Macaca fascicularis: one gene and its partners. The protein of the gene in region 1 interacts with the protein of each later gene in a biochemical or structural test. Links are inferred from orthologs where the notes say so. Each region holds a gene or a part of one and is shown on either strand. Other genes may lie near its edges.

Region 1 (3,500 bases):
CCTCTTCAAAACACGGATCGTAACACTCCCAGGGGGCTCCAGGATGACTCCCACATGTAAGTGATGCACCCACACGTTATTCCCTGTCCCCTCACAAGACATCCAAGAGCGCCCTCTGCAGGCCCCGACTGTCTGGAGTCTCTGGCTTTCTCGTTGATTATACCTCATCTCCTTCCCTCTAGGGAGGCAGGAACACCTCTATGTACCTCTTTTGGAGAGGCTGGGAATGGGGAGAGAGATCAGAAGCCCCAGGACCTGGGCCCCAGCCAGCCCTCCCATCTCCAAGAGCACAGGCCCCTGGCACTGCCCGCTCCCAGGAAGGAAGAAACCCACACGACTAACCAGTGTCTGAGAGCATTTTTATTAAGGGCAGCAGAACGGGATCGCAGCATCTTAGAAAGCCTATTCTCTGCCGTGGTGGGGAGTGGGGAGCAGAGGGAAGGACCCGGCACACTTCAAGAAACCAGGCGGGTGTGAATTCCTGAGTGAGCTAGGGGCAGCAGTGGGTGGCTGCTCCACAGCTCGCCCCTCCTCCAGAGGACCCAGCTTTTTGGTTTTGGAGCAGCCAAAGCTGTTCACCAGCTTGCTCAGAGCCTACCCTGAGGGCATGGCTGGCAGGAGCAAGTCGCCCAGGCCCGAAGGAGAGACACCCACTGGCTCGAAAGCCAGGCCTCTGCTGACGGGGCCAACCCTGGGGTGCCAGTGCCAGGGCTGAGAGTCCCTGAGGGGCTGCTGGCACACAGGTATCCTCCCGTGGTGAGCAGAGCGCAGTGAGGGGGTGACAGGCAGGCAGAGCTACGTTGGCAGAAATATGAAGCAATGGGACAGTTTCCAAGAATGGCAACATTTCTGGATCCAGAGAAGCAACAAGAACAAATGGTGGCTTGTTTGGATAGTTTCTGACAGAATTTGGCATTTTATTACAAATTGGAGTGTGAGTGAAATAAAATCCATCATCATTTTTCTGCTAATGAAGACACATATACGGAAACGCCAGCCCGGTGCCCTTGCCATTCTGGGCACACGAGTCTCCAGAAACCTGCCCTTGGCGTACCTAGGACAAAAGAAGCTGAGTTCATGTACACACCACAGGGGCCACGCGCCTGAATGATGTTAGGCTACCTAACCTGCCCATCACTCCCCACTTCTGCACAGATCAGACCGGAAAGATCTAGAATTAAAATTAAAACAAAAAGCAAAGTTTAAGTCATCTTCTCCACAGGATCTAGTCCCCCCCCAAAAGCCAAGAAGGGAAGCCACCAGTGGCAGAAGCGGGGTTGGTGACACACGGCATTTGGATCGTCGGCTTCCTTGGGGTGTCAGAGTGACACAGATTCTCTACTAGTTTGGGGACAATCCCATTTGCCTTGAAAAGACATTAATATTCAAATCTTTACAAGTTTATCTGATGATAAATTCTAAGGTCAATTTTTATTTCTACAAAAAAAGGCAGTCAAAACAATATAAAACACATTGAAAGGATATTACTGAGTGAGCTTCAAGTGGAGCTTGACTCTGCAAAGGCTGTGAGTCCAAAGGGAGAGGAAGTCCGTCTTGTTCCCGGGCTGGGCCAGCTGCTCTGGAGGAAGGGGTCAGCAGGGGCCCAGGAGACCCCAGACTGGTGCTTTAAATAGCCGAGTCCTGCTAATTCCAATCCTACAAAGGGTCAAAGTGTGCCGAGGGAGGGCTGTGGCGGGGCCGCTGCACAGAGGAAGTGGAGAGCAAGCTCCGTGGCACATTCAGATGAAACTCGGTGACAGATGAGCTGGGAATTTCAAACGGACATTCTGGCTGTAGCTTTGCCTGCAAGGACCAGCAGATCTTCTACAATGGCTGCAGGAAGAAGTGCCAACCTGGGACATCAGGAGCCTTTCTGGCGAGATTCATCACACACAGTGTGCACAGCATCCTCCTGACTAGCAGGCCCCCCATTTCGGGGCCACCACAGACCTGTGATTATAGGGTTTGTCTGTGCAGGCCAGGCCAGAGGTCAGTTACACACACTGACATCAGAGCTTGCCCAATTAACTCATTTTACTGTGGTAACATCAGCTGAAGATTCACACAAGAACTGAGGAGAAGGACTGGAGGAGGGGTGTGGCTGTTTGTTTTTAAAATTTTTAAAAGGATGTTATAAACTGGAGTCAGGAGAATTTAAACCAACTCCCACACTGGGCAACAGTCCCACACGTGCTAAGAAAAGCCACCAGGACCGCCAGGGCAGTCTCTTCTCTTTTGTGGAGGCGGGCCCCGGGTCTGGGGAAGTAAGTGAAAAATAAACTCAGTGCCAGAAAGTGGGAGTGGCAAGGGTAGGGAAGAAAGGGAACCACAACCTTTTTTTTCCTTTTTTTAAAACATTATGGGCTAAATGCAACTTGAAGATTTTGGATAAAATTGGACAAGAAAAGAAACACCATTCTTTTGGAATAGATTGAAGCAGTGATTTTTAAAACAAAGAGAGCAGAACTAGAACATCTTAAATTTTTAATCCTTTCTTTACAGGTTACCTAGACCACTTTTGATTAAGAAAACTGTAGAAAGTTAGTAACTGCCACAAGCGAACGCCAGGCGGTGGCACGTGTCAATTTCCACAGAGTCCTGCTTTGCGGGGTGTCTGAATGCACTGCACGGGGCCTCTGCTCACACTTGCTGGAACCAATCGTGGCAGATTTTAGTCCACAGGTCGCTTTTCCCCATATTTCTTTGTAAACTCTTCAGCATTCTTACAGAATTTTTTACGGTCCTTAGAGTATTCTTCAGCTAGGTCAGCCCGAAGCGGGTGCTCGGGCTGGGGGTCATTCACCAGTGCTATGAGGGACTGGATTACTGCCAAGAGAAGGACAAGGCATGGGGGGTTAACACAGTCTCAGAAATGGCACAGGCAAGAGGCAGCTAATCCCGGGAACAAAACTCTGGCTTTACCACTGGTTTATATCTAATGTGCTTTTAAGCCAAAGCAGCCTATCTATCCAAAATTCTGACCCCCAGAAAACTCATCTTTCCTCTGTGATTAGGAGACATTGATGGACAACAAATAGCTAACACTACAGTGGATAATTGTTCACAGTGATGTGCTTCCGCCTCCAGGAAACCTTCCTGACCTGACACCTGGGGAAGTCTTAGCCCTCAGTCACTCCCAGCCCTTTTTTCTTGGAAGGGGGTTGGGGAGGAGGGACAGGGTCTCACTCTGTCACCCAGGCTGGAATGCAGTGGCACCATCTTGGCCCACTGCAGCGTCAACCTCCTGGGTTGACCTCAAGCAATCTTCCAGCCTCAGTCCCCCGAGTAGCTGGGGGACCACCATGCCTGGCTAATCCAGTCCTCTTGTGTGCTCTGGAGATAGGAGGCCTAGCATTGAACTGCTCACTCTCTCACACACACACACACACACACACACACAGGGTCACTTTCTTCGGGGCAGGACTGGGTAGAACTTCCCTGCATCAGCCCAGCACCCAGCACCATGCTCGGCTCAGGGAAGTTTTGGTTAAGGTGACTGA
Region 2 (3,500 bases), on another chromosome or scaffold:
GAATATTTTCTCCCATTCTGTAGGTTAGCTTACTCCCTCTTTTGCTGTGCAGAAGCTCTTTAGTTTAACTATGTCCTATTTATCAATTTTTGTTTTTGTTGCAATTCTTTTGAGGACTTAGAAGTTTTTTTCTCAAGGCTAATATCAAGAGGGCATTTCCTAGGTTTTCTTCTAGGATTTTAATAGTTTTAGGTCTTACATTTAAGTATTTAGTCCATCTTGAGTTAATTTTTGTGTATGATGAGAGGTAGCACTCTGGTTTCATTCTTCTGTATGAAGAAGCCAGCTGGGGGATCACATTTCAACATGAGATTTGGAGGAGAGAAACATCTAAACAATACTACCAAGTTAGAGGATAAAGAATTTGATAAAGTCAGAATATAAGGAATATGAGAGCAATGGACTTGAGTTGGAGAGAGGAAGAGATTTATTTAGCACACATACTAGTTGATAGAAAGATTATCTGTAATAAGATTATATGCATTCAGATGCTAGTAGTGAGCAGATATAGTAGAACACACAAAAGTTCTCTTGTGGTTGCTTCTGTTTCCTCTGTGAAATAGGAAGTAAGATCATCAACTCAGAATAAGGAGCAGGGAGAAGTAAGTATTTGAGGAAAGAGGAGTAGGAATGAAATAGTCATCTAGGAAAGTGGGAGAGTGAATGCAGTAGGGAAATGTGATTACCAGGAAACAAACCAGTGATGAAATATGACTGTTGGTCATGGAGGAGTCAGCTTGGTTGTTTATGCATTTCTAGCATGTTCCATTGCCTAGGTATAGACATTGAGTAACCTGAGAGTTGAATTTAGCTGTGCTTGGGATTTTGCTAGAATACACTGGCGGAGGTAGGGTTTGAAGGGAGTTATTTTATTTTATTATTTGAGACAGAGTCTTGCTCTGTCACCTAGGCTGGAGTGCAGTGGTGTGATCTTGGCTCTCTGCAACTTCCACCTCCCAGGTTCAAGCAATTCTCCTGCCTCATTCCCCTGAGTAGCTGAGATTACAGGTGCGTGCCACCATTCCCAGCTGATTTTTTGTATTTTTAGTAAGGACAGGGTTTCACTGTGTTAGCCAGGATGGTGTTGATCTCCTGACCTCATGATCCACCTGCCTCAGCCTCCCAAAGTGCTGGGATTACAAGTGTGAGCCACCGTGCCCCACCTTGAAGGTAGTTATTTTAATGATTGACTATGGAATCTAAACTGAGTAAGGGAAGACATAACTTCATGAGGAGGCTAAGGTAGTATTAATAGCTTCAGTGGATTTTTTTAGTTCCCCCACATTGCTGGGAGTCTGGGGCTTCCTGGGTTGGCTGTTGTGAATAGGAGCAAAGGCACAGTGAGGTTAGTCCTAAAAGCCTCACATGCAACAGTGAGAATAAGAAAGGAACGGGGGAGCTGCCTTTTCAGGTGCACAGAGCCCTTTTCTATTTCGTTATCCAATTAGGTTAATTCAATTTATAAAACATTTAGGAAGATTGAGGCAGGGTATGGTAACAGAAGTCTTGTATCATCCTCTACATTTTTTGATATATGTTATATAGCTGTATGTATAAAATAGATTTTAACTTTGTTTTTCATACCTAGCATTTTATATAATATTTTAGTTTTCATGATTTATGCCATTCACTTACTGAATGCTTTACTTGTAAAGTCTCATGATTTTTCTGTTATCATTGTTCTGTAAGAAATTGTTATTTTGCAAATTTTAAATAAAATTTTTCATTTTTCTTTGCAGGCACTATTTCATGGAAAGTTTATCGATACTGGTTTCTCTTTACCATTCTACAAGCGTATGTTAAGTAAAAAACTTACTATTAAGGATTTGGAATCTATTGATACTGAATTTTATAACTCCCTTATCTGGATAAGGTTTGAAGATTTTGTTTTGCAGTAAGTCATTTTTTTGAAACTCGTTTTGTTTCATTTTGTTAATTAGTGTATATATATTTATTTCACCCAGAGATAACAACATTGAAGAATGTGGCTTAGAAATGTACTTTTCTGTTGACATGGAGATTTTGGGAAAAGTTACTTCACATGACCTGAAATTGGGAGGTTCCAATATTCTGGTGACTGAGGAGAACAAAGATGAATATATTGGGTAAGGCGATATACCTTATTAAGCTTAATTTCTAGAACACTTCAGAACTAAATCCTTTCTCTGTACCCTTAATTTCATCCCCTTTTCATGCCTTTGGGAAGTTCTTCTCACCAGTACCACTGCTCTTGAAAAAAAAAGAATGTATGTTGCTTCATTTTCCCACTGCCATTTGCTGTAACCATTCTACCATTTCCCTTTCCATGTCATTTTCCCTTTTTTAACTTAGGCTTTTAAATAGTGCTCACCATAGCCTCTTTCTTGAAACTCAGTGTTTTCTTGAATTCCATGATCCTATGTCATACTGATTTTCCTTACATTCTCTTGTTTTAAAATTTTGTTTTCAGAGAGGGTTTCACTCTGTCGCTCAGGCTGTAGTAGTGGCGTGGTTGACCATTGAGCTCAAGCTATTCTCCTGCCTTAGTCTCCTGAGTAGCTGGTACTACAGGCTTATACTACTATTCCCAGCTAATTTAAAACAATGGTTTTTTGTTTTTGTTTTTGTTTTTGTTTTTTAAAGACAGGGTCTCACTGTATTGCCCAGGCTGGTCTCAAACTCTTGGCCTCAAGTCATCCTCCTTCCTCAGCCTCCCAAAATGCTGGGATTACAGGCATGAGTCACCACTCCTGGTCACTTGCACTTTTTTAATGACGGTTCTCTAAATCTCCTATTTCCTAAATGTAGGCATTTTTCCAAGATTTTATTTCAACCTGCTTATCTAAATATTCTGCTAACATAGCTTCAATTTTCTGTTAAAGTTATATCTGAACTTTAGAAATAATTTCCATTTGCCAGCCAGGTAAATCCAAACATTTTCAGGAAAGAACCAGGCAGTAAACTTGTTAGGCTTACAGGCCACATTTCTTATTGCAACTACTCACCTCTGTGGTATAGTGTGAAGGTAACCATAGACAGTGTATAAATAGATGTGTGGCTGTGTTCTAGTAAAACACTTGTAGACACTGAAATTTGATTTTGTATGATTTTCATATCCCAAAATACTTTTAATATTTTTCAGTCATTTTTTTAAAATGTAAAAACTATTCTTAGCTCAAATGCTGGGGACAAAAAAACCAGATGATTAGGCCCACGGGTCATACTTTGCCAACACGTGAACTACAGATGACCCATCTTAAAATGTCATGGGTCTAAAATCAAACTTTTCATTTTTTCTAGATATTTTCTCCTACTGATGTCTTCTATGAATAGTACTACCATTTTCACCCTCTTAGATGCTAGCTGTCATCTCTGTCTCTTTCAGATTTTTTGTTTTTTATATTTGTTTTGAAAATGGGATTGGATTATACACATTACTCTGTATTTTACTTTTTTGTCTTAAGGACAGTACAGTTAAATCTAGCTCATTTTTTAATAGCTAGGTAAACTGGGGTGGTTTT
Region 3 (3,500 bases), about 59 Mb from region 1:
ATGAGTAGAAATATGTAATTTTGTATAAATTAAAGGCAATCGAAGAGAAGAGCAATCATTTATTCCTAATAAGAAAATCAACTAGCAGTATTAAAGTGTGTCACGAGATACACTTATCAGAAGAGGCCATGAACTAACAGGAAAAGAGATCCAGATTACAGGCTTATGCCACATGTATTACCCCAGATCACCCATGTTACATAGTTTTAGTAACCATAATCTTATGTTAATATTGGTTCATATTTTCACAATATTTGACTTAGAGTCTCAGCATTTTTCTAATATGTGAGTGGCTGGAATTATGTGCTTTACTGCCTCTGTGAAATTTTCATATTGATTTAACGTGTAGGGAGTAGTGGCACTTGACGGGGATTATTATGGGACTTAGTAATAGATGGAATATTAGATTGATTTCAGCCACTCACATGGGTGAATGGTGAATTTTAAATTTGCCTATGAATAGTATTTCATTGATTCTAAGACCAGTATTTTCATGTTATAATATCTCTGAAATTAAGATATATCGCAGGTAAAATTGGGAAAATGTTGTCTTAGATTCTTTAAAATGTAATAATGTATATATTACCATCTACCAGAGATGGTGTATACTACCAACTCTGTGAAATAGATGTGAGTTTGAACAGAAGCAATAAAAATCAACATGAGATTAGAAAACTATCACTAGCTGAGGGGTATAGATCCCTGAGAACTTTATAACACTGTTCTTTGATTTGTTGACATGGTAACCTGCAAGATTTTTCATAGTAAATTTTCTTTTGATTTCAGAGAATGGTTCTTTCTTTTGTCACATGAAGTGTTGAACCCAATGTATTGCCTGTTTGAATATGCAGGGAAGGATAACTACTGCTTGCAGATAAACCCCGCTTCTTACATCAATCCAGATCACCTGAAATATTTTCGTTTTATTGGCAGATTTATTGCCATGGTAAGTGCAGGTCAAGAATTATGTTTACTTTGCTTACTCAGCAATACTAAATTTTCTCTTAGGTGCCATAACAGATCATACGAGAGAAAGGGAAGTGATTTTGTTTTGTTTTTTATTTTTGAGACAGAGTCTTGCTGTATCACCCAGGCTGGAGTGCAGTGACACAATCTTGGCTCACTGCAACCTCTGCCTCCTGGGCTCAATCAGTCCTCCTGCCTCAGCCTCCCAAGTAGCTGGGATTACAGGTGTGCACCACCATACCCAGCTAATTTTTGTGTTTTTAGTAGAGATGGGGTTTTGCCATGTTGACCAGGCTGGTCTTGAATTCCTGACCTCAGGTAATCCACCCACCTCAGCCTCCCAAAGTGCTGGGATTACAGGTGTAAGCCACCGTGCCCAGCCAGGGAAGTGTTTTTTTGAGACAAAGTTTCACTTTTGTTGCCCGGGCTGGAGTGCAGTGGCGTGATCTCGGCTCACCACAACCTCCACCTCTCAGGTTCAAGCAATTCTCCTGCCTCAGCATCCTGAGTAGCTGGGATTACAAGGATGTGCCACCACGCCTGGCTAATTTTTGTGTTTTTAGTAGAGATGGGGTTTCTCCATGTTGGTCATTATGGTCTTGAACTTCTGACCTCAGGTGATCCACCCACCTCGGCCTCCCAAACTGCTGGGATTACAGGTGTGAGCCACCATGCCCGACCCAGGGAAGTGTTTTTAAATGAAGAATTCATTTAACATATTCAGATAAAATGATTATTGTACAATTATTTTAAGCAGTCTTGTTTCCTTTTTTCATAGGCTCTGTTCCATGGGAAAATCATAGACACAAGTTTTTCTCTACCATTCTATAAGCGTATCTTGAGCAAACCAGTTGGACTCAAGGATTTAGAATCTATTGATCCAGAATTTTACAATTCTCTCATCTGGGTTAAGTAAGTTTCTTTTTCCATGTAATTTATTAAAATATAGTTTATATGCATTCCGTGTAGTATTGATAACCTATGCAAACTGTAAGCACATAATTGGTTTATTGTATTTAAATGATCTATATATCAAACCTGCCTTTTTATTCAATATGATAAATTTTACAAAAATATACCGAAGATCTTTGGCAATAATATGATGACCTTAGAATAGAATCTTATTTCTTCTTATTTTGATGTTATAACTTAATTATTTAAGAATATGGGCCTTAGGTAAAGACTTATAAATTATGATTGAATTGGTGGATATAACAGAGAGTGCTAATTTCATTTGTGCAGAGAAAACAATATTGAGGAATGTGGTTTGGAAATGTACTTCTCCGTTGACAAAGAAATTCTAGGTGAAATTAAGAGTCATGATCTGAAACCTAATGGTGGCAATATTCTTGTAACAGAAGAAAATAAAGAGGAATACATCAGGTGAGAGTGCTCCTTTTCACATTTCACTTTTTGTTTGACTACAGCGTATTGATAATTGCTTACTAATGCTAATGGAGAGTTATCTCCAAAAATAATATTTGTCTTTGTACTAATCAATATCCTATGTAGGCAATCATTTTTCATTTCTAAAAAGTTTTTTTTTCAAAAAGTGTTTTTGAAAGAGTTTAAGGATAAAAGTCATGCAGGATTACTCTTTTAAATATCAATTCTGTAACTATGCTGTATAACATGTCATTAAAAAGAATCTCAAATATATATGCAGATATTTTTACAGGGAATATTGTAAGGTGTATTAATCCACTTTCCCGCTGCTGATAAAGACATACCCAAGACTAGCCAATTTACAAAAGAAAGAGGTTTAATGGACTTACAGTTTCACGAGGCTGGGGAGGCCTCACACTCACGGTGGAAGGCAAGGAGGGGCAAGTCACATCTTACATGGATGGCAGCAGGCAAAGAGAGAGCTTGTACAGGGAAACTCTGTTTTTAAAACCTCATCATTGGCCGGGCGCGGTGGCTCAAGCCTGTAATCCCAGCACTTTGGGAGGCCGAGATGGGCGGATCACGAGGTCAGGAGATCGAGACCAGCCTGGCTAATACGGTGAAACCCCGTCTCTACTAAAAAAAATACCACAAAAAACTAGCCGGACGAGGTGGCGGGCGCCTGTAGTCCCAGCTACTCCGGAGGCTGAGGCAGGAGAATGGCGTAGACCCGGGAGGTGGAGCTTGCAGTGAGCTGAGATCCGGCCACTGCACTCCAGCCTGGGCGACAGAGCAAGACTCCGTCTCAAAAAAAAAAAAAAAAAAAAAAAAAACCTCATCATTGGCTGGGCACGGTGGCTCACGCCTGTAATCCCAGCACTTTGGAAGACCAAGGCAGGCAGATCACGAAGTCAGGAGATTGACACCATCCTGGCCAATATGGTGAAACCCCGTCTCTACGAAAAATACAAAAATTAGCTGGGTGTGGTGGCATGTGCCAGTAATCCCAGCTACTAGGGAGGCAGAGGCAGGAGAATGGCTTGAACCCAGGAGGCGGAGTTTGCAGTGAGCCAAGATAGCACCACTGCACTCCAGCCTGGTGACAGAGCGAGACTCCGTCTAAAAAAAAAAAAAGACCATATCATATC
Region 4 (3,500 bases), on another chromosome or scaffold:
GAATTAACCGAGAGACAGAGGTTAAGAAAGTCCCAGATTTAGGGTACGAGTAGTAGGAAAGAGAGAAATTACTAGATTGAACAACAAAATTTGTATATATAGTGCAGAATAGGGGAACAGGATTGATCCACTGTTTGATAGTACTGTATCTGTTTTCCTAAAATACTGCATTCAAGAAGTGATCAGTATATGAAATGGTCAATAGAAAGTAGTAGGGGCCGGGCGCGGTGGCTCAAGCCTGTAATCCCAGCATTTTGGGAGGCCGAGACGGGCGGATCACTAGGTCAGGAGATCGAGACCATCCTGGCTAACACGGTGAAACCCCGTCTCTACTAAAAAATACAAAAAACTAGCCGGGCGAGGTGGCGGGCGCCTGTAGTCCCAGCTACTCAGGAGGCTGAGACAGGAGAATGGCCCGAACCCGGGAGGCGGAGCTTGCAGTGAGCTGAGATGCGGCCACTGCACTCCAGCCTGGGAAACAGAGCGAGACTCCGTCTCAAAAAAAAAAAAAGAAAGTAGTAGGATGTCCTTTCGTTACATTGTTATTGCTCACTTTTTTGTTTTTTACTTGTTATCTTTTCAAATAGTCGTTGCTTAGCAAATCTAAGGCCTCTCTTAGATTCTGGAACAATGGGCACTAAGGGGCACACTGAAGTTATTGTACCACATTTGACTGAATCTTACAATAGTCATGTAAGTGAATCAGTATTTTGAAATAAATGTCTTCTTTATGTCTTATAATTTTTGTCTTGATCAACAATTTGATTTAGCTTTCCTAATCCTTCTGAGTTTGCTGTGCCAATGATGTTCATACATATGTGCATGTACATTTTTTAAAATATAATTGAACTTTTTTTTAATTATCAGAATTTTGTGTCTGTTGTTTCTGGAGCATTATTCTACTGTTTACTATTTATTTCTCAGAGCTGCTTAGTTTTCTAATACCCTTTGAGTTTAAGATTGTTTGATAAGAACAAACTATTAGATTGAGACTAGAACCGTCAACAAAGACATAAAATTTTATTCGCTTGCTGAGACGAAGTGAGCCATTTTAGATTAGGTAAACCAATAAACCTAGGCAAAATGTACTCTATAATAGAATGTGGATTTCTTCAGTGGTACTTTATCCACAAAAAAATGACTTAGGTATTTGCCATTTATTTAATTTATCAGTTGAAAAATATGAAAAGTATGTAATCTTGGGTCAAAGAGGGGAAGAAAATAAAACTTTAAGAAATAAAAATTTGTAGAATATAAGTATTATAAGTATTGAGAAAGAAGATTAAGAAACCTGTATCAAGCATTGAGGACGTATTTCTGCTCCCAGATGTTTTTCTCTATGGAAAAACTCATGCTTTTCCGAGCATTATACTGGGTATTCCTGAATTACTTTTCAAAGCAGGGAGTGTTATAAAACTTTACATTTCACCTTGATTCATGAAGAAAAAAATGATTTATAGATGATGGTGTGTCATGAGTACTACATGGTGCTTTAAATGAGTACACAAATAATAAATAAGATTCATGTTTGGCATTACATAGCTGTTAACAAATAGGTTAAATGTCAAAAGAATTAACTTCTCTTATTGCCTAAGAGAGCGAAGATATAAAAATGTCTGGTTGGATTTTATTTATCTTTGGATTTTTAATAGCCTTAAAGCTCAAAAGTAAATTAAACCAATAAAAATTGGTCATTGCTGCTCCTTAAGTATCTGTGGTCATATTTTATAAATTAGCGGGATCCCCCAGAAGAGGAAGTACCATTTTGTACTCTAAAATCCTTTCCAGCTGCTATTGAACATACCATACAGTGGGCAAGAGATAAGGTAAAAATTCCTTTTTAAATTTATTTTCTTTGAAGTGAGAAAGAAGATATTTCTGACTTTAAACAGCCTTCTATTTCTAATTTTTTTTCCTTTTCTCTGTTACAGTTTGAAAGTTCCTTTTCCCACAAACCTTCATTGTTTAACAAATTTTGGCAAACCTATTCATCTGCAGAAGAAGTCTTACAGGTAAAAATCACTACATTTTAATACAAGCTTAACACTTTGTGTCAGTGTAATCTTATTTTCAAGTCATCTACAAGTGATTTATTTTACCTCCATAAAGAGTGATTGTATATAAAAAGTGAAATGATACATAAGGAATCTTGAAATTAGGTCACAAATTATCCTTTTGGTTTGGTTGAACTATACAGAATTGTCAATATTTGACCATGTTTAACTCACAAAACAGCAATTCATATGGTTCAAGCTAATAAAGATATGATAGTTATGATAGAAAGGCTACAAATAATAGAAGGGCTTTTATTAAGCCCTTTGGAAAGAAAAAATTGAGGTAAGTTCTAGTTAAAATTTCATGAGGGAACAATTATCTCCAAGACTTATTACTCTTATAGTGAAGGCAACTTTAAAGATGTTTTCTCACTTTCTTTTAATCTTAATATAATAACAAGGCCCACTTTTTAGTATCAAATATTCATAGCACTTTTAGTAAGTACATATATTATAGTACTAATAACTTAGAGCTAGGAAAATATGAGGATAATTTGTAAGATAAGAAATCAGAGTTAAAATTTTGTGTGCTATTTCTTACCTTTCCCCTTCTCAAACAGAAAAGAGCTTAAAGAAGGAAGGAAAAGGAGCTTGAGGTGAAAAAAGAAAAGCATAAAACACATGAGTTGACACTTCAAACTTAGGCAAACTTTTGTTGGGGGATGTATATATGTTTGTAATTGGAAATATGTTGATTTTTTTTTTTTTCTCTCCCATTCTAGAAGATACAGAGTGGACACAGTTTAGAAGGCTGTTTTCAAGTTATAAAGTTACTTAGCAGAAGACCTAGAAATTGGTCCCAGTGTGTAGAATTAGCAAGATTAAAGTTTGAAAAATATTTTAACCATAAGGTAAGTATGCATTGTGAGACATTAAGAAAAGGTCTGACCTTGGCTTTTTTAGTTATTAACAAATTAATTTCATTGACCTGAAATGTATATTCTTTCTTTTGGCAAGCTTTTCAGAAGTTAGTAGTAAGTTAAATGAGAACACATGCTAATCTAAAAGAAGTTTATTAAGAATAGAAGAAGCAAGAAACTGAGAAAATAGGCGTATTCAGTCAGAAATTTTGCTGGGATTTTGCTATTTCCACCCATATCCGATAATCACTCTTTATGTCTGTTTCCCCATCTGTAAAATAGAAATAATAAATTTGTACCTAATACGTAAGGTAGTGGTGAGGATAAAAGGAGGTAAGACTTATAAAGCATTTAGAACAGAGCCTGGCACATAAAAAATTACTAAATATTAGCTGTTATTCTTACCTCCAGTTAAATATGGTTGCTGAAATGTGTGTTGCATTCTCTTTAGTCTTTCCCTCTCTTTAGGCTCTTTAGTTCATCTTCCTTAAAAACAACTTGGAAAAAAAACAAACAAAAAAACAAAAACGGGGTTTCCCTATGTTTTCCAGGCTGGCCTGGAACTCCAGGGCTCAAGTGATCCCTG
Region 5 (3,500 bases), on another chromosome or scaffold:
AATTCTTAGTTTCTTTCCTTATTACTGTGGGTTTTTGCTAATAGCCATGCCTACATATTTGTTTCTGTCTGTTTGTCATCTTAGTCTATGTGACCTGAGTGATCTAGAATACCTTGATGAAGAGTTCCATCAGAGCCTGCAGTGGATGAAAGACAATGATATCCATGACATCCTAGACCTCACGTTCACTGTGAACGAAGAAGTATTTGGGCAGGTGTGTGTCTCTGCACACCTGGTGCCTAAGTGTGGTAACTGAAAGCTATTGACGAGTGAAGAATTAACTCCATGGCTAAGATCAGATGCTTATTTATTTGTGGTTTATTGGGTGATTTAAACTCCAGATCACACACAGTTACAATAATCGCAGTTACAAAGGTTAGAATTAATGTCAGCTGCAGATTAAGATGCTGTAAATTACAGATGGTGATAACCTTTTATGTTGTAAGCAATCTTCTTTTTATTTCCAACTGAAATATTCCCTAAAATATGAGAATTTACCTTATATAGAATGCAGTTTTTTTGAAGTCCACGCTACAGAATTTTAAAATTCCATTTATAGAATGGTGGCTGGGCACGGTGGCTCATGCCTATAATCCCAGCACTTTGGGAGGCCAAGACAGGAGGATCAGTTGAGCCTAGAAGTTCAGGACCAGCCTAGGCAACATGGTGAAACCCTGTCTATACAAAAAATACAAAAATTAGCCAGGTGTGGTGGCACACACCTGTAGTCCCAGCTACTCAGGAGGCCAAGGTGGGAGGGTCACCTGAGCTGGGGAGGTTGAGGCTGCAGTGAGCCTGGATCATGCCACTGCACTCTAGCCTGGGGGACAAGAGTGGGACCCTATCTCAAAAAAGAAAAGAAAAAAAAAAAGAACCAAAATTGATTTTTTTGAAGCTAAGGGAACATAAACAATGTTTTGGGGAAGACTTAAAAACAGAATATATTGATTTTTTTTTTTCAATAAAAAAAATTGAAAGAGTAGGGAAAGAGTAGGGAAAACATTTCTTCCAGAAATTATATACTAGTTTATAAGTAATATTCTTTTTTTTTTTTTTTTTTTTTTTTTGAGACGGAGTCTCGCTCTGTCACTCAGGCTGGAGTGCAGTGGCCAGATCTCAGCTCACTGCAAGGTCCGCCTCCCGGGTTCCCGCCATTCTCCTGCCTCAGCCTCCCGAGTAGCTGGGACCACAGGCGCCGCCACCTCGCCCGGCTAATTTTTTGTGTTTTTAGTAGAGATGGGGTTTCGCCGTGTTAGCCAGGATGGTCTCAATCTCCTGACCTAGTGATCCGCCCGTCTCGGCCTCCCAAAGTGCTGGGATTACAGGCTTGAGCCACCGCGCCCGGCTTATAAGTAATATTCTTATTTAGGCATTAATCTTTAGCTGCTTTTCTGATTTCCATGTGTTTTGAAAAAGTTCTCAATTTAACATTCACTTGAGTGTAATTCTGCTTCTTTAAAGTAAATCTTTACTCTAGATATAGTCAATTCTGAGAAATTTGTGAAAATGGGTTTTGTCAAACATTCAAATAGTAGCAGGCTGGTATCTGAAGCCAATTCGTCTGCATTTTAAAACTTAACCTGTAGTACCAGCAATATATATATATATATAAATCACCAAAGCTTTCAAGCACCAGCTCAATGCCTAGTTTTTCCTGAGTGCATGTGCTCCATGAGTGCCTGGGGCCTCACTGCCAGCTTGTGGGATGTGCCTAGGGCAGGGCTGGGGACAGGTAGCTGGCTGATTTCAGCTCACTGCTAGTCATGTTCTTATAACAGTAAGAGTATTGCTTTATAGTCATTCTTTTTATTTTTTAATCTCAGATAACTGAACGAGAATTAAAGCCTGGGGGTGCCAATATCCCAGTTACAGAGAAGAACAAGAAGGAGTACATCGAGAGGATGGTGAAGTGGAGGATTGAGAGGGGTGTTGTACAACAAACAGAGAGTTTAGTGCGTGGCTTCTATGAGGTAAAGACAATCAGCAGTAGGAGGAGTTTGCAGTCTGATATCAATGATGCCACAATCCATCTTATTGTACTTACATGTGTAGACGATTTCTGCTGTGTTTACTGTTGCTCTCTCCATGCGAAAAGTTCAATATTTTTTCCCTTATATTTCAAGAGCACCAAAAGAAGCTTAACTCACTGTTACGAGAGATCACTGAAATAAATGTTAGGGACTGAACTCAAGTAGCATTTGTTGATTTAATGACCACTAGTAACATTTAAGCCATGCATCTTATGCTTAGATACGGGTAATCAAATCTCATGCTTGCTATGTGAAATAATTATATCTGAGGTCAGAATGAGTTGGCACATATTGTATGTGGCTTTTTCTGTAGAAACACTAAGTATTTTCCTAAAGGTGGACGGGACCTAGATTAATCAGCAGTCAGTTATAAAACAAAAATTCTGTCGAGGCAAATCTCATCAACCTTAAAGAATGCCTTATATTTGTAGGGAGCTTTACAGGTTTTCAAGTGCCAGCTCAAGGTACACACATATTATTCCTGAAACTCCACGTGTCCCTTTTTCTAAGACTTAATTATAGCTGATATTTCTCCAGGCTCCTAAGCCATGCCTTGTACTCTTTTTATTCCACAGGTGGTGGATGCCAGGCTGGTATCTGTGTTTGATGCAAGAGAACTGGAATTGGTCATCGCAGGCACAGCTGAAATAGACCTAAGTGATTGGAGAAACAACACAGAATATAGAGGAGGTGAAATTTGATTTATAGATGGCTAGATTTTAAATTTCAGATTAAAGGAAGGCATTGGTTCAGCTTGCCAACTGAATATAGGACAGGCAACAGCACTTGGACTCTAATCATAGGTCTGATTGCAGGCTCCCTTGAGACCTTGGGCAAGGTACATTCTCTTCTTCTCCTAGTTACCTCATCTGTCAGATGGGAGAAGGACTGTTTACACAGCATCAAAGGATGTCATAACTCTTAATTGTTGGTGAAGAAATGTGACCATAAGAACACTAATTAATTACTTTATGGTGTTGCCAGTGAAGCACCAAGGAGCTAACATCCAGCTGGTCAAACTCCACCTATTCCATTTTGTTTCTAAAACTTAAAGAAGCACACCCTTTGAGGTTCCCAGTCAGCACAGGTTTCCCACCATTCACTACACTCCTTAACAGTTATCATTCATAGTCAGAATACTTGAATGGAATAAGACACAGTTCCCAAAATATGACATTATTGGAGAAGTTCTAAATTCAAGCATGAATTTCAAGTGAAAAGAAGACTGTAGTAAGGTTAGTTAAAAACTGCACTATCTGAAACTTCACAAAATGGAAAGCTTTAAAAGTGACCTTTCTGCAGATTAGTACAAATTATCGATTCATAACCGGGACCAAACCCATTGAAATTTGAGTGTTAAACTAATACTTTGCAAGGGACCTGATGGTAACCCAGAGTTAAGGTTTTATTAAATAATTTTAAGCAAAGAATACATGTTCTGAAATTTATCACCATGTTAGAAAGCCTTCA
Region 6 (4,159 bases), on another chromosome or scaffold:
GTGTACTGTGGGGCCGGCAGGCCGGGCACTGTGACCACTGCCTCATCTGACATGAAGGCCTCCATCTCGAGCTCCAGGCACCAGGACTGCTGTGAGCAGCGAGGAGAAGCAGCCAGACACCCCATCAGGACAAGCTCTGGCTCCGACTCCTGGTCCTAGAGACACACAAGGGCCCAGACTGTCTGCTTCACAGACAAGGACGCTTATGTACCCAAGTCGTGCCCACCCAACTCACCTGAGGCTGTGACTGTGGTGGGTCCACACCGCAGAGGGCAGACAGCTGGGTGACCGCGGCCCCCACATCTGGCAGGAGGCAGAAGGTGGTGGTCGAACAGTGCACAGCCAGCTCAGGGGGATTGGTGGTCACCAGATGCTGTGAGAAGCCAGGTCAGGGTGCCCGGCGTGGTGGACCCACAGGGAGGCCCCGCCCCCACGAAGACCCGCTCTGGAGGCCCCGCCCCGCCGATGCCACGCCCCGATGAAGACCCGCCCTACGGAGGCCCCGCCCTCGAGGCGGGCCGCACCTCGCCGCCAGCTTCCAGGCCAGCAGCCGCTCCAGCTCCCTGTCACATGCTCTCCGCTCTGCCCCTGATGGCCGCTGGCAACTCCTCCCGATACCTGGGGAAGGGCGGTGAGGGGAGGTCCGGCCACAGGGTACGCTCGCCCACCGATCCCTTTATCCCCTTCCACTCTACCAACGGCCCAGGGCTTCCAGCCGCACTCGGGGGTCCGCGCGCACCCGTAGGACCTCTCGATGGCGCTCCGGAATGGCGGCCCAGCGACTGCGGTCCTTACACCCAACAGCGCGGGAAGCCACTATGTTCACGCGGAGGGGCGGGGCCGGCTGCCGGGGGCGGGGCCGGCTGCTGGGGGCGGGGCTTCTGCGTAGGGGCTGGCTGCTGGGGGCGGGGCCTCTGGGTGGGGCGGCCTGTTGGGGGCGGGGCGTCTGCCGATGGGGCGGGCTGCTGGGGGCGGGGCTGGCTGCCGGGGGAAGGGCCTCTGGATGGGGCCCGCTGCTTGGGGAGGGGTCTCTGCGCGTTGCGGCGGGGGCGGAACGCCAGGTGGTCGGGACAGGCTGTTGGGGGAGTGCGCCCTCAGCGAACCAAGGCATCTCACTGGGAAAGTCGAATGTGTGTGGCGGTCGCCGCCGAGGCCGGTTCCGAAGAGGCCTCAGCAGGGCGGGCCAGGGCCTCCGCGAACGCCGACCCTTAAGAGCGCCGAGCGAGGGAACCGGAGTGTTCCTCCCAGCCCCCGACGCCGCGGGCCTAGCGTCCCCGTCCAGGCTGATTGGGCGCACGCGCGGCCCCACTCGCCCCCACCCGTGCGTCCCCGCTGGTCCCGCCCCCGGCCGGAAGTTCCGGCGGTGGAGCTGGGCCGGGCCCGAGAGGATCGCGGGTTCGGGCTGCGGGGCTCGGGCTGCAGGCGCTGGGCCGCCAGGCGCGGAGCTTGGGAGCGCAGCCCAGGCCGTGCCGCGCGGCGCCATGAAGGGCAAGGAGGAGAAGGAGGGCGGCGCGCGGCTGGGCGCTGGCGGCGGAAGCCCCGAGAAGAGCCCGAGTGCGCAGGAGCTCAAGGAGCAGGGCAACCGTCTGTTCGTGGGCCGAAAGTACCCGGAGGCGGCGGCCTGCTACGGCCGCGCGATCGTGAGTGCGCTCGCGCGGGAAGGGCGGCGGCGGCGGCGGCGGCGGCGGCGGCGGCGCCGGGGAGGGCCGGGCCCGTGCCCGGCTGGCCCCACCGAGGGTCTGGTTCCTCTGCGGGGCATGTCCTGGGCTCCTAAAGCCCAGCCGTGGTTCCCGAGCCCAGCGCCGGGTGTCGGAGAACGAGGGTGGGATGCTGGATGGAGGCCGGCCGGGTCGGGGGGAGGGCAGGGGCCCTCGCCCCTTGAGGCTCCCAGGTCCAAAGCCTGGACTCTCCAAAGATTTGGAAAACTTTACAAAACCAAGTGGAGTCAAGCGGATAGGCTCAGCCAGTACTCCACTGTCTGCAGATCCTTGGATCCAGGGGCTTTGACGACTGAGAAGCCTAGTTTCTTGATTCTAGCCAGAGCGCAGAAGCTGGGACGGGCCGTGGGACAGAGGGGGCGCGCTGAGCCTACACCCTCATGCGGCTGGCCCGGCCTTGGTCCCTAGACCCGGAACCCGCTGGTGGCCGTATATTACACCAACCGTGCCCTGTGCTACCTGAAGATGCAGCAGCACGAGCAGGCCCTGGCCGACTGCCGGCGCGCCCTGGAACTGGACGGGCAGTCTGTGAAGGCGCACTTCTTCCTGGGGCAGTGCCAGCTGGAGATGGAGAGCTATGATGAGGCCATCGCCAATCTGCAGCGAGGTTGGCTGACAAGCTGCCCGGTTGTGGGGCCCCTGGGGCCAGGCGGGTGGACTGGCCAGAGAGTGACCTGAAGCCCCCGTTCCCCAGCTTACAGCCTGGCCAAGGAGCAGCGGCTGAACTTCGGGGACGACATCCCCAGCGCTCTTCGAATCGCGAAGAAGAAGCGCTGGAATAGCATCGAGGAGCGGCGCATCCACCAGGAGAGCGAGCTGCACTCCTACCTCTCCAGGCTCATTGCCGCGGAGCGTGAGAGGTGGGACCCTCACCCCAGGTCGCCCTGTCTTGGGGTAATTCTGAATCACCAACTACCAACATGAGCGTTTATTGAAGGTTTTACTGGCGAGCAGAAAACGTGGGGAAGAAGCATGAATGTTAGCCCTGAGGTTGGGGTGTGGTCAGACATCTGGCCAGGTCCATCTCTTACTGGCTCCTGGTCAACCCCCAGGGAGCTGGAAGAGTGCCAGCGGAACCACGAGGGTGATGAGGACGACAGCCACGTCCGGGCCCAGCAGGCCTGCATTGAGGCTAAGCATGTGAGGGTGCCCCCCTCCCACATGTGGGTCTGTGTGTGTGCACCTGGCGTGGGAGCATCCCCGCCTTGTGTTGGGTCTGTGCCCCATGGAGGAGGGAGGTGGGGTGTCCCGCACAAGTGCAGTGCTCAACTCTTCACAGGACAAGTACATGGCAGACATGGACGAGCTCTTCTCTCAGGTGGACGAGAAGAGGAAGGTGAGTGTCTGTCACTTGCTGCGGTGGGTGGCAGGTGCTGGAGCAGTGCCCCTTCCCAGCCTCTGATCGTGTGCCCCTGTGCCACAGAAGCGTGACATCCCCGACTACCTGTGTGGTAAGATCAGCTTTGAGCTGATGCGGGAGCCGTGCATCACGCCCAGTGGCATCACCTACGACCGCAAGGACATCGAGGAGCACCTGCAGGTGAGGCTGCGGCTGGGGGAGCAGGGCCAGCAGCATGGTCCTGGGCCCACTGACTGCCCTCTGCCCTTCTTGTCACTGCAGCGCGTGGGTCATTTTGACCCCGTGACCCGGAGCCCCCTGACCCAGGAACAGCTCATCCCCAACCTGGCCATGAAGGAAGTCATTGACGCATTCATCTCTGAGAATGGCTGGGTGGAGGACTACTGAGATGCCTTGCCCTGCCCAGCATCCTGGTCCAGGAGAGCCCTGGGCGGAAGCCCTCCACCCCTGTACATAGTTTGTGTTGCTGGCCACCCTGGCCCCTTCCAAGTTCAAGTTCTGCTGTTGGGCTCTGGACTATTCCCCCTCTCAGCATAGCTCTTGCTGGGCCATGATTGTCCCCCTTTGTGGGCTGGAAAAGCAGGTGAGGGTGGGCTGGGCTGAAGCCACTGCCGACACTGTCTGTGTAATAAAATCCATGAGCACGAGATGGGACGTGCTGGTGTGTGGCAGGCATGCCTGCCAGCTGCTTTGGCTAGCCGAGGAAGGTGGAGATGAAGACGCTGGTGTCAAGGTTGAGTGTGGCATGCCACCAGCGGTCAGGGAAGTACAGCACCTGGTGGAGAAAAGGGGTGCAGCACAGATTAGCTGGGGGCCTCTGGCCTGGCCTGGCCCTCTCCTGCCAGCCACTGACCTCACCAGCCCGGATGGTACACTCCAGGGGCCGTGCAGACGGTGGCAGGGCTGGATATGTGTCCCGGAGCCAGGCCAGCGTGGTCTTGTTGGGGTGGAACTCTGGTGTCTTCTCAGGTGGGTAGAGGAACCAGCGCTGGGGGCAGGAGCAGCAGCGTCACCCTTGCCTGTTTTGGTCACCGAGCCCCAAGGCTCAACCCCAACCCTGTGCTGACCTTACGGCCGTAGA
Region 7 (4,262 bases), on another chromosome or scaffold:
CTATTTTATGGATGGGGAAGCAGTGGCCCAAGTTGGGGGTTTCTCTTGTGGCTGAGTATTCATAACTAATTTTATATTAATGTAAATATATATTTACATATCTTAACATATTACCTTTATATTAATATATAATGTTTTAAAAATTTAACAGTGCCTTGTGCCAGCAATGTTCTAAGACTCATCCCATAATTTATATTCTCTGATTTTCTTTTTTTTTTTTGAGACGGAGTTTCACTCTTGTCGCCCAAGCTGGAGTGCAATGGCACGATCTCGGCTGACTGCAACCTCTGCTTCCCGAGTTCAAGGGATTCTCCTGCCTCAGCCTCCGCAGTAGCTGGGATTAAAGGCGCCCGCCACCACGCCCAGCTAATTTTTGTGTTTTTAGTAGAAACAAGATTTCACCATCTTGGCCAGACTGGTCTCGAATTCCTGACCTCAGGTGATCCACTCGCCTCGGCCTCCCAAAGTGCTGGGATTACAGGCGTGATCTGATTTTCATAATAACACATCTCTGTGAGGTGGATGGGCTCTGTTACTATCCTCATTTTACAGTTGTGAAAACTGAGGCACCTGCCAAAGACATGTAATGAGTTTGGGTTTGATTGGACTAAGGCAGCCCTTGTTCCTGAGGCGGGGAGAATGGAGGGAGGTGTGGGGAGAGGAGGCAGGGGCAGAGAGAACACTTCCCCTGGGTTTTCTGGTGGCACTGCAGTGACATCTTTCATTATTCATGAACAGGAAGGCGTGCTCACTTTGCCTTGGCTATAGCATCGTAATCTCTATTTGCTGGGTAGGGCAGTCTTGGGTGTTTGTTCGCCTTATGCATAATTCATAAATTGGGTGGAACCTTTCTTGACCTCTCTTGAGTTTCCAGGTTGAGCTACTGCAGCAGCGTAATTCATTATTCAGAACCTGGGAGAGTGTGTTTTCTCTGCAGTAGCCCCATTTCCCTGCTTATAGTGTATTAGGTGCAGCAATAGGTGGGCGTGCTCCTTTTATTCCAACCCACTGGGTCTTATGCATTATTCATGAGTAAGTTGTGGCCTGGGTCTCCTTGGATTCCGGGCCCCTGCAAGATCATCATTATTCATGAATGGAGGTGTGTGACTTCCATGTTTTAATATCTGCTGTCTGGTTGCTGGTTGTTAGTCTACCAACCACTCAACTTTATGCATAACTTATAATCAGGAAGCGTGACCTTAATGGTTTTTCTTCGCTTCCATGACAGCCTGGCTGCAACCATTCATTATTCACATTCCATGAGGCGTGGCCTCTCTTTTACCTGTTTTCGTTGTTACTGCCACAATGCCCACCAGGTGGTACTGTTCCACTTCTAACCGAATGAATCGCAACCGGACCGGGAACTTTATGCATGATTCATAAGTAGGCGCGGCCCGCTTGCATCCGGGTTTCTGGGGGTGGGGCCCAAGGTTTTGTTCCGGCCCCAGGCTCAGCGGCCGCCATCTTGTGTCGGCGGCTCGGCTGAAGGAGGTGGCAGGGACAACCACAGCCACAGCGGCCGGGGGAGGAGAAGGCGGCAGCGGCGATTCTAGGCGGCCCAGGCGGCGGGGAGGAGGAGAAGGAGGAGGGTGGCGGCCGGGCTTGGCTTCGGCTCCTTGAGGAGTTGGCGGCGGCGCGACCCGGGGAACCGGCATTGGTAAAAAACGTCCTTTCACTGCGCCTCGCCCGGGGCAGGGGTTTCGGGGAGGCACTGGAAGGGCCTGAGCCACGCTGCTGTCGGGGCGGGCCGCGGTGACTCGGGCGCCAGGAATCAGCGGAGTAGGGAGGGGGAGCAGAGCCTGGGGCGGGGCCGACTTTCCCCGGCCAGGACCACCCCGGATCCCTCTAGTTCCAAAATCTGACCTTGGAGTCGGACCCCCACGATGTGCTTTTAGAGACTCATGCCCAACATCTCTAGTCTGGGACCTGACTCCGTCCCGAACCTTGTATCTCAGATCAGAACTCTCCCCAGTCTCCGATAGAGATTTACGGGGATCAGCATTGCTGATCAGAGCTTCTCACCATTGAATGCCATTAAAGACCTGCCCCAGAATCTCCTTTGAGACACCTCCTAGCCTCTCAGTATTTGCCCTCAAGGCTTCCAAGACAGGCTAGACCTGGAAGGGGTCCATAGGCTCTTTATCTCTGTAAGAGAGTCCTCGTTTGCATTTTCCTTCAGACCCCCCATCCCACACACATGTTAGCCACGCTCAGAGCTTCCAGGGGTACTAGACCCTGTGAAAGGCCATTTGGGCCTGGCCTTTGTGTCGGGGAACCCTCTTCGCCTCACCTCAGGTCTCCTAACCCCACCCTGGCCCTAGCGTCTTTCATTAGAGACTCTGCCCAGTATTTCTACTCAGAGACCCCTCTTAGCATCTGCCTTGAGAGACTTCAATTCCTAGACTCCGTCCTTTGACACTTTCTCTACTTTTACGGAATTTCTTGCTTTTCATACTCCCAGTATTCAGAGACTACTGAGAGGCTTCAGCATCTTCCCCATCAGACACCTTGAACCCCCAGAGCCTTCCGGTGCACCAGATAGCAGGGAGGAACTGTTTGGATACATAATCCTCCATCAAAGAGCCCCTGCGAGCATCTGCTCTTGCAGTCCCGGTTGGCTTCTAGCCCCTTCCATCAGAGACTCGCCTCCCCTACCCCACCCTAGACCCAGCCTCTGCCGTCAAAAGACAACCCGGGTTCTAGCTGCTTTTTTCAAAGATCTCTTATCCTCACATCAGGCCTCAGAATCTGCCCTCAGATACTTTCAAGGTCCCTAATGTCTGCAGTCAGGGGTTTTCAGCTTCTGCTTTCAGACTCCTTGGACCCCAGGATCATTGTCAGATGTCCCTTCCACCCACAGGCCCTCTTGTTTTCTTTCTTCTTCCTTTTTTTTTTTTTTTTGAGACGGAGTTGTTTCACTGTGTCGTCCAGGCTGGAGTGCGGTGGCGCCATCTCGGCTCACTGTAACCTCCACCTCCCTGCTTCAAGCGATTCTCCTGCCTCAGCCTCCCGAGTAGCTGGGATTACAGGCATGCACCACCACGCCTGGCTAAATTTTTGTATTTTTAGTAGAGATGGGGTTTCACCATATTGCCCAGGCTGGTCTCGAACTCCTGACCTCAGGTGATCCACCGCCTCGGCCTCCTAAAGTGCTGGCATTACAGGCGTGAGTCACTGCGCCCGGCCATGGCCCTCTTGTTTTCTACCGCAATAGAAAACCCTCTTCTTAGCATCTACCTTCAGCGTCTCCATGGGGTCCTACATAATTGGTCAGAGAAACCCAACCCCATTTGGGGACCTAGCCAGTGTTTGCTTACTAACCTTTTTAAGGCCTGAACTATCTGGGCCCAGCTTCCCTTTTCCACCCCCTCAGAGCAGCTGTGATACCTAGCATGTCCTGTCAGAGATTGACACAGGGCCTTTGTGTTCCATTAGAAACCTCTCCCAGCCCCTCACCATCCACCCTCAGAGCCTCCTGGGATTCTGTAGTAGGAATGTCAGATACAGCTCTCCTCTTGCATGTCCCTATCTATTATTTTTGGTTAAAGATTTCTCTCTGCTACCAGCATCTGTCTCCAGAGACCTCCAGAGCCTCAACATCCTCCTGATGGAGACTACCCCTCCCCCCAGACCCCAACGTCTTCCTGCTGCCTCCTCAGACTCTAGAATCCCCCACCCATTCCCTTTGCAGCTTCCATGGGGCCCAGCAACTGCCCTCCTACCTCTTTGCAGCCTCTGGGGGCCTCCACTGCAATTTTTCAGCCTTTCTCTAAAAGATCCTTTTCCAGAGATCCGAAATTTGAGTCTTTTCCTAACACCCTAGCCTAGTCCCTTCCCTCCCAGGACTTCTAACATCTCCTTTCCCATTTGCCTCAGAGCCTCCTTGCTCTTAGACACCCACTTCCTGATTTTCCTCTCACGTTCCCATGGACTTCTCAGTTAACCCCTCCCGGAAAGCTTGACATGCTCCAGCCCCCCTTCTCTATGCCCTAGCTTCTCCATCCTGCTAACCTGCCTCCTCTCACACCTCCAAGACTCCTCCCTCAAACCCTCTGGTTTGAGAATAGAGAATGCTTACGCTTGAAAATCTTCAGTTTGGAGACTCAGGTATGTTTAGAAACTAAGCCGCAGCTCAGCTTTGCCAAACAGTTCACAGTGTGTATGTTATAGTGGGGGCCTGAGCAAATGTTGAGGGAGGAAGGGTGTAGATTGTTTTTCTGCTGGGGGTGGGGGATCTTTAGCTCCTATCCAGAGTTTCTGTC

What was found.
Region 2: the proteins of UBE2L3 (region 1) and WWP1 form a complex in vitro, tested with the Homo sapiens proteins (9 studies listed by BioGRID, with this or other methods). The link is inferred for Macaca fascicularis from reciprocal best matches to the Homo sapiens genes UBE2L3 and WWP1.
Region 3: the proteins of UBE2L3 (region 1) and ITCH form a complex in vitro, tested with the Homo sapiens proteins (19 studies listed by BioGRID, with this or other methods). The link is inferred for Macaca fascicularis from reciprocal best matches to the Homo sapiens genes UBE2L3 and ITCH.
Region 4: the proteins of UBE2L3 (region 1) and UBA6 form a complex in vitro, tested with the Homo sapiens proteins (4 studies listed by BioGRID, with this or other methods). The link is inferred for Macaca fascicularis from reciprocal best matches to the Homo sapiens genes UBE2L3 and UBA6.
Region 5: the proteins of UBE2L3 (region 1) and HECW2 form a complex in vitro, tested with the Homo sapiens proteins (2 studies listed by BioGRID). The link is inferred for Macaca fascicularis from reciprocal best matches to the Homo sapiens genes UBE2L3 and HECW2.
Region 6: the proteins of UBE2L3 (region 1) and STUB1 form a complex in vitro, tested with the Homo sapiens proteins (3 studies listed by BioGRID, with this or other methods). The link is inferred for Macaca fascicularis from reciprocal best matches to the Homo sapiens genes UBE2L3 and STUB1.
Region 7: of the proteins of UBE2L3 (region 1) and UBA1, one has a biochemical effect on the other in vitro, tested with the Homo sapiens proteins (24 studies listed by BioGRID, with this or other methods). The link is inferred for Macaca fascicularis from reciprocal best matches to the Homo sapiens genes UBE2L3 and UBA1.

The regions. Positions count from the first base shown.
Region 1 is NC_088384.1:31,510,386-31,513,885, forward strand, and holds the end of UBE2L3 (ubiquitin-conjugating enzyme E2 L3), read right to left. Parts: intron 2,829-3,500; exon of another isoform or gene 2,827-2,828; coding exon 2,672-2,826; 3' UTR 353-2,671; downstream 1-352. UniProt on the Homo sapiens protein: Ubiquitin-conjugating enzyme E2 that specifically acts with HECT-type and RBR family E3 ubiquitin-protein ligases.
Region 2 is NC_088382.1:96,199,763-96,203,262, forward strand, and holds part of WWP1 (NEDD4-like E3 ubiquitin-protein ligase WWP1), read left to right. Parts: intron 1-1,739; coding exon 1,740-1,873; intron 1,874-1,964; coding exon 1,965-2,105; intron 2,106-3,500. UniProt on the Homo sapiens protein: E3 ubiquitin-protein ligase which accepts ubiquitin from an E2 ubiquitin-conjugating enzyme in the form of a thioester and then directly transfers the ubiquitin to targeted substrates.
Region 3 is NC_088384.1:90,523,383-90,526,882, forward strand, and holds part of ITCH (E3 ubiquitin-protein ligase Itchy homolog), read left to right. Parts: intron 1-786; coding exon 787-946; intron 947-1,744; coding exon 1,745-1,878; intron 1,879-2,208; coding exon 2,209-2,349; intron 2,350-3,500. UniProt on the Homo sapiens protein: Acts as an Acts as an E3 ubiquitin-protein ligase which accepts ubiquitin from an E2 ubiquitin-conjugating enzyme in the form of a thioester and then directly transfers the ubiquitin to targeted substrates.
Region 4 is NC_088379.1:66,127,127-66,130,626, forward strand, and holds part of UBA6 (ubiquitin-like modifier-activating enzyme 6), read left to right. Parts: intron 1-587; coding exon 588-693; intron 694-1,736; coding exon 1,737-1,826; intron 1,827-1,931; coding exon 1,932-2,012; intron 2,013-2,776; coding exon 2,777-2,905; intron 2,906-3,500. UniProt on the Homo sapiens protein: Activates ubiquitin by first adenylating its C-terminal glycine residue with ATP, and thereafter linking this residue to the side chain of a cysteine residue in E1, yielding a ubiquitin-E1 thioester and free AMP.
Region 5 is NC_088386.1:91,856,129-91,859,628, reverse strand, and holds part of HECW2 (E3 ubiquitin-protein ligase HECW2), read left to right. Parts: intron 1-84; coding exon 85-214; intron 215-1,823; coding exon 1,824-1,970; intron 1,971-2,605; coding exon 2,606-2,720; intron 2,721-3,500. UniProt on the Homo sapiens protein: E3 ubiquitin-protein ligase that mediates ubiquitination of TP73. Acts to stabilize TP73 and enhance activation of transcription by TP73. Involved in the regulation of mitotic metaphase/anaphase transition.
Region 6 is NC_088394.1:1,434,390-1,438,548, forward strand, and holds STUB1 (E3 ubiquitin-protein ligase CHIP), read left to right. Parts: upstream 1-1,359; 5' UTR 1,360-1,481; coding exon 1,482-1,640; intron 1,641-1,984; exon of another isoform or gene 1,985-2,126; coding exon 2,127-2,325; intron 2,326-2,412; coding exon 2,413-2,578; intron 2,579-2,631; exon of another isoform or gene 2,632-2,770; coding exon 2,771-2,858; exon of another isoform or gene 2,859-2,997; coding exon 2,998-3,054; exon of another isoform or gene 3,055-3,141; coding exon 3,142-3,465; 3' UTR 3,466-3,725; downstream 3,726-4,159. UniProt on the Homo sapiens protein: E3 ubiquitin-protein ligase which targets misfolded chaperone substrates towards proteasomal degradation.
Region 7 is NC_088395.1:47,299,431-47,303,692, forward strand, and holds the start of UBA1 (ubiquitin-like modifier-activating enzyme 1), read left to right. Parts: upstream 1-1,462; 5' UTR 1,463-1,657; intron 1,658-3,993; exon of another isoform or gene 3,994-4,034; 5' UTR 4,035-4,107; intron 4,108-4,262. UniProt on the Homo sapiens protein: Catalyzes the first step in ubiquitin conjugation to mark cellular proteins for degradation through the ubiquitin-proteasome system.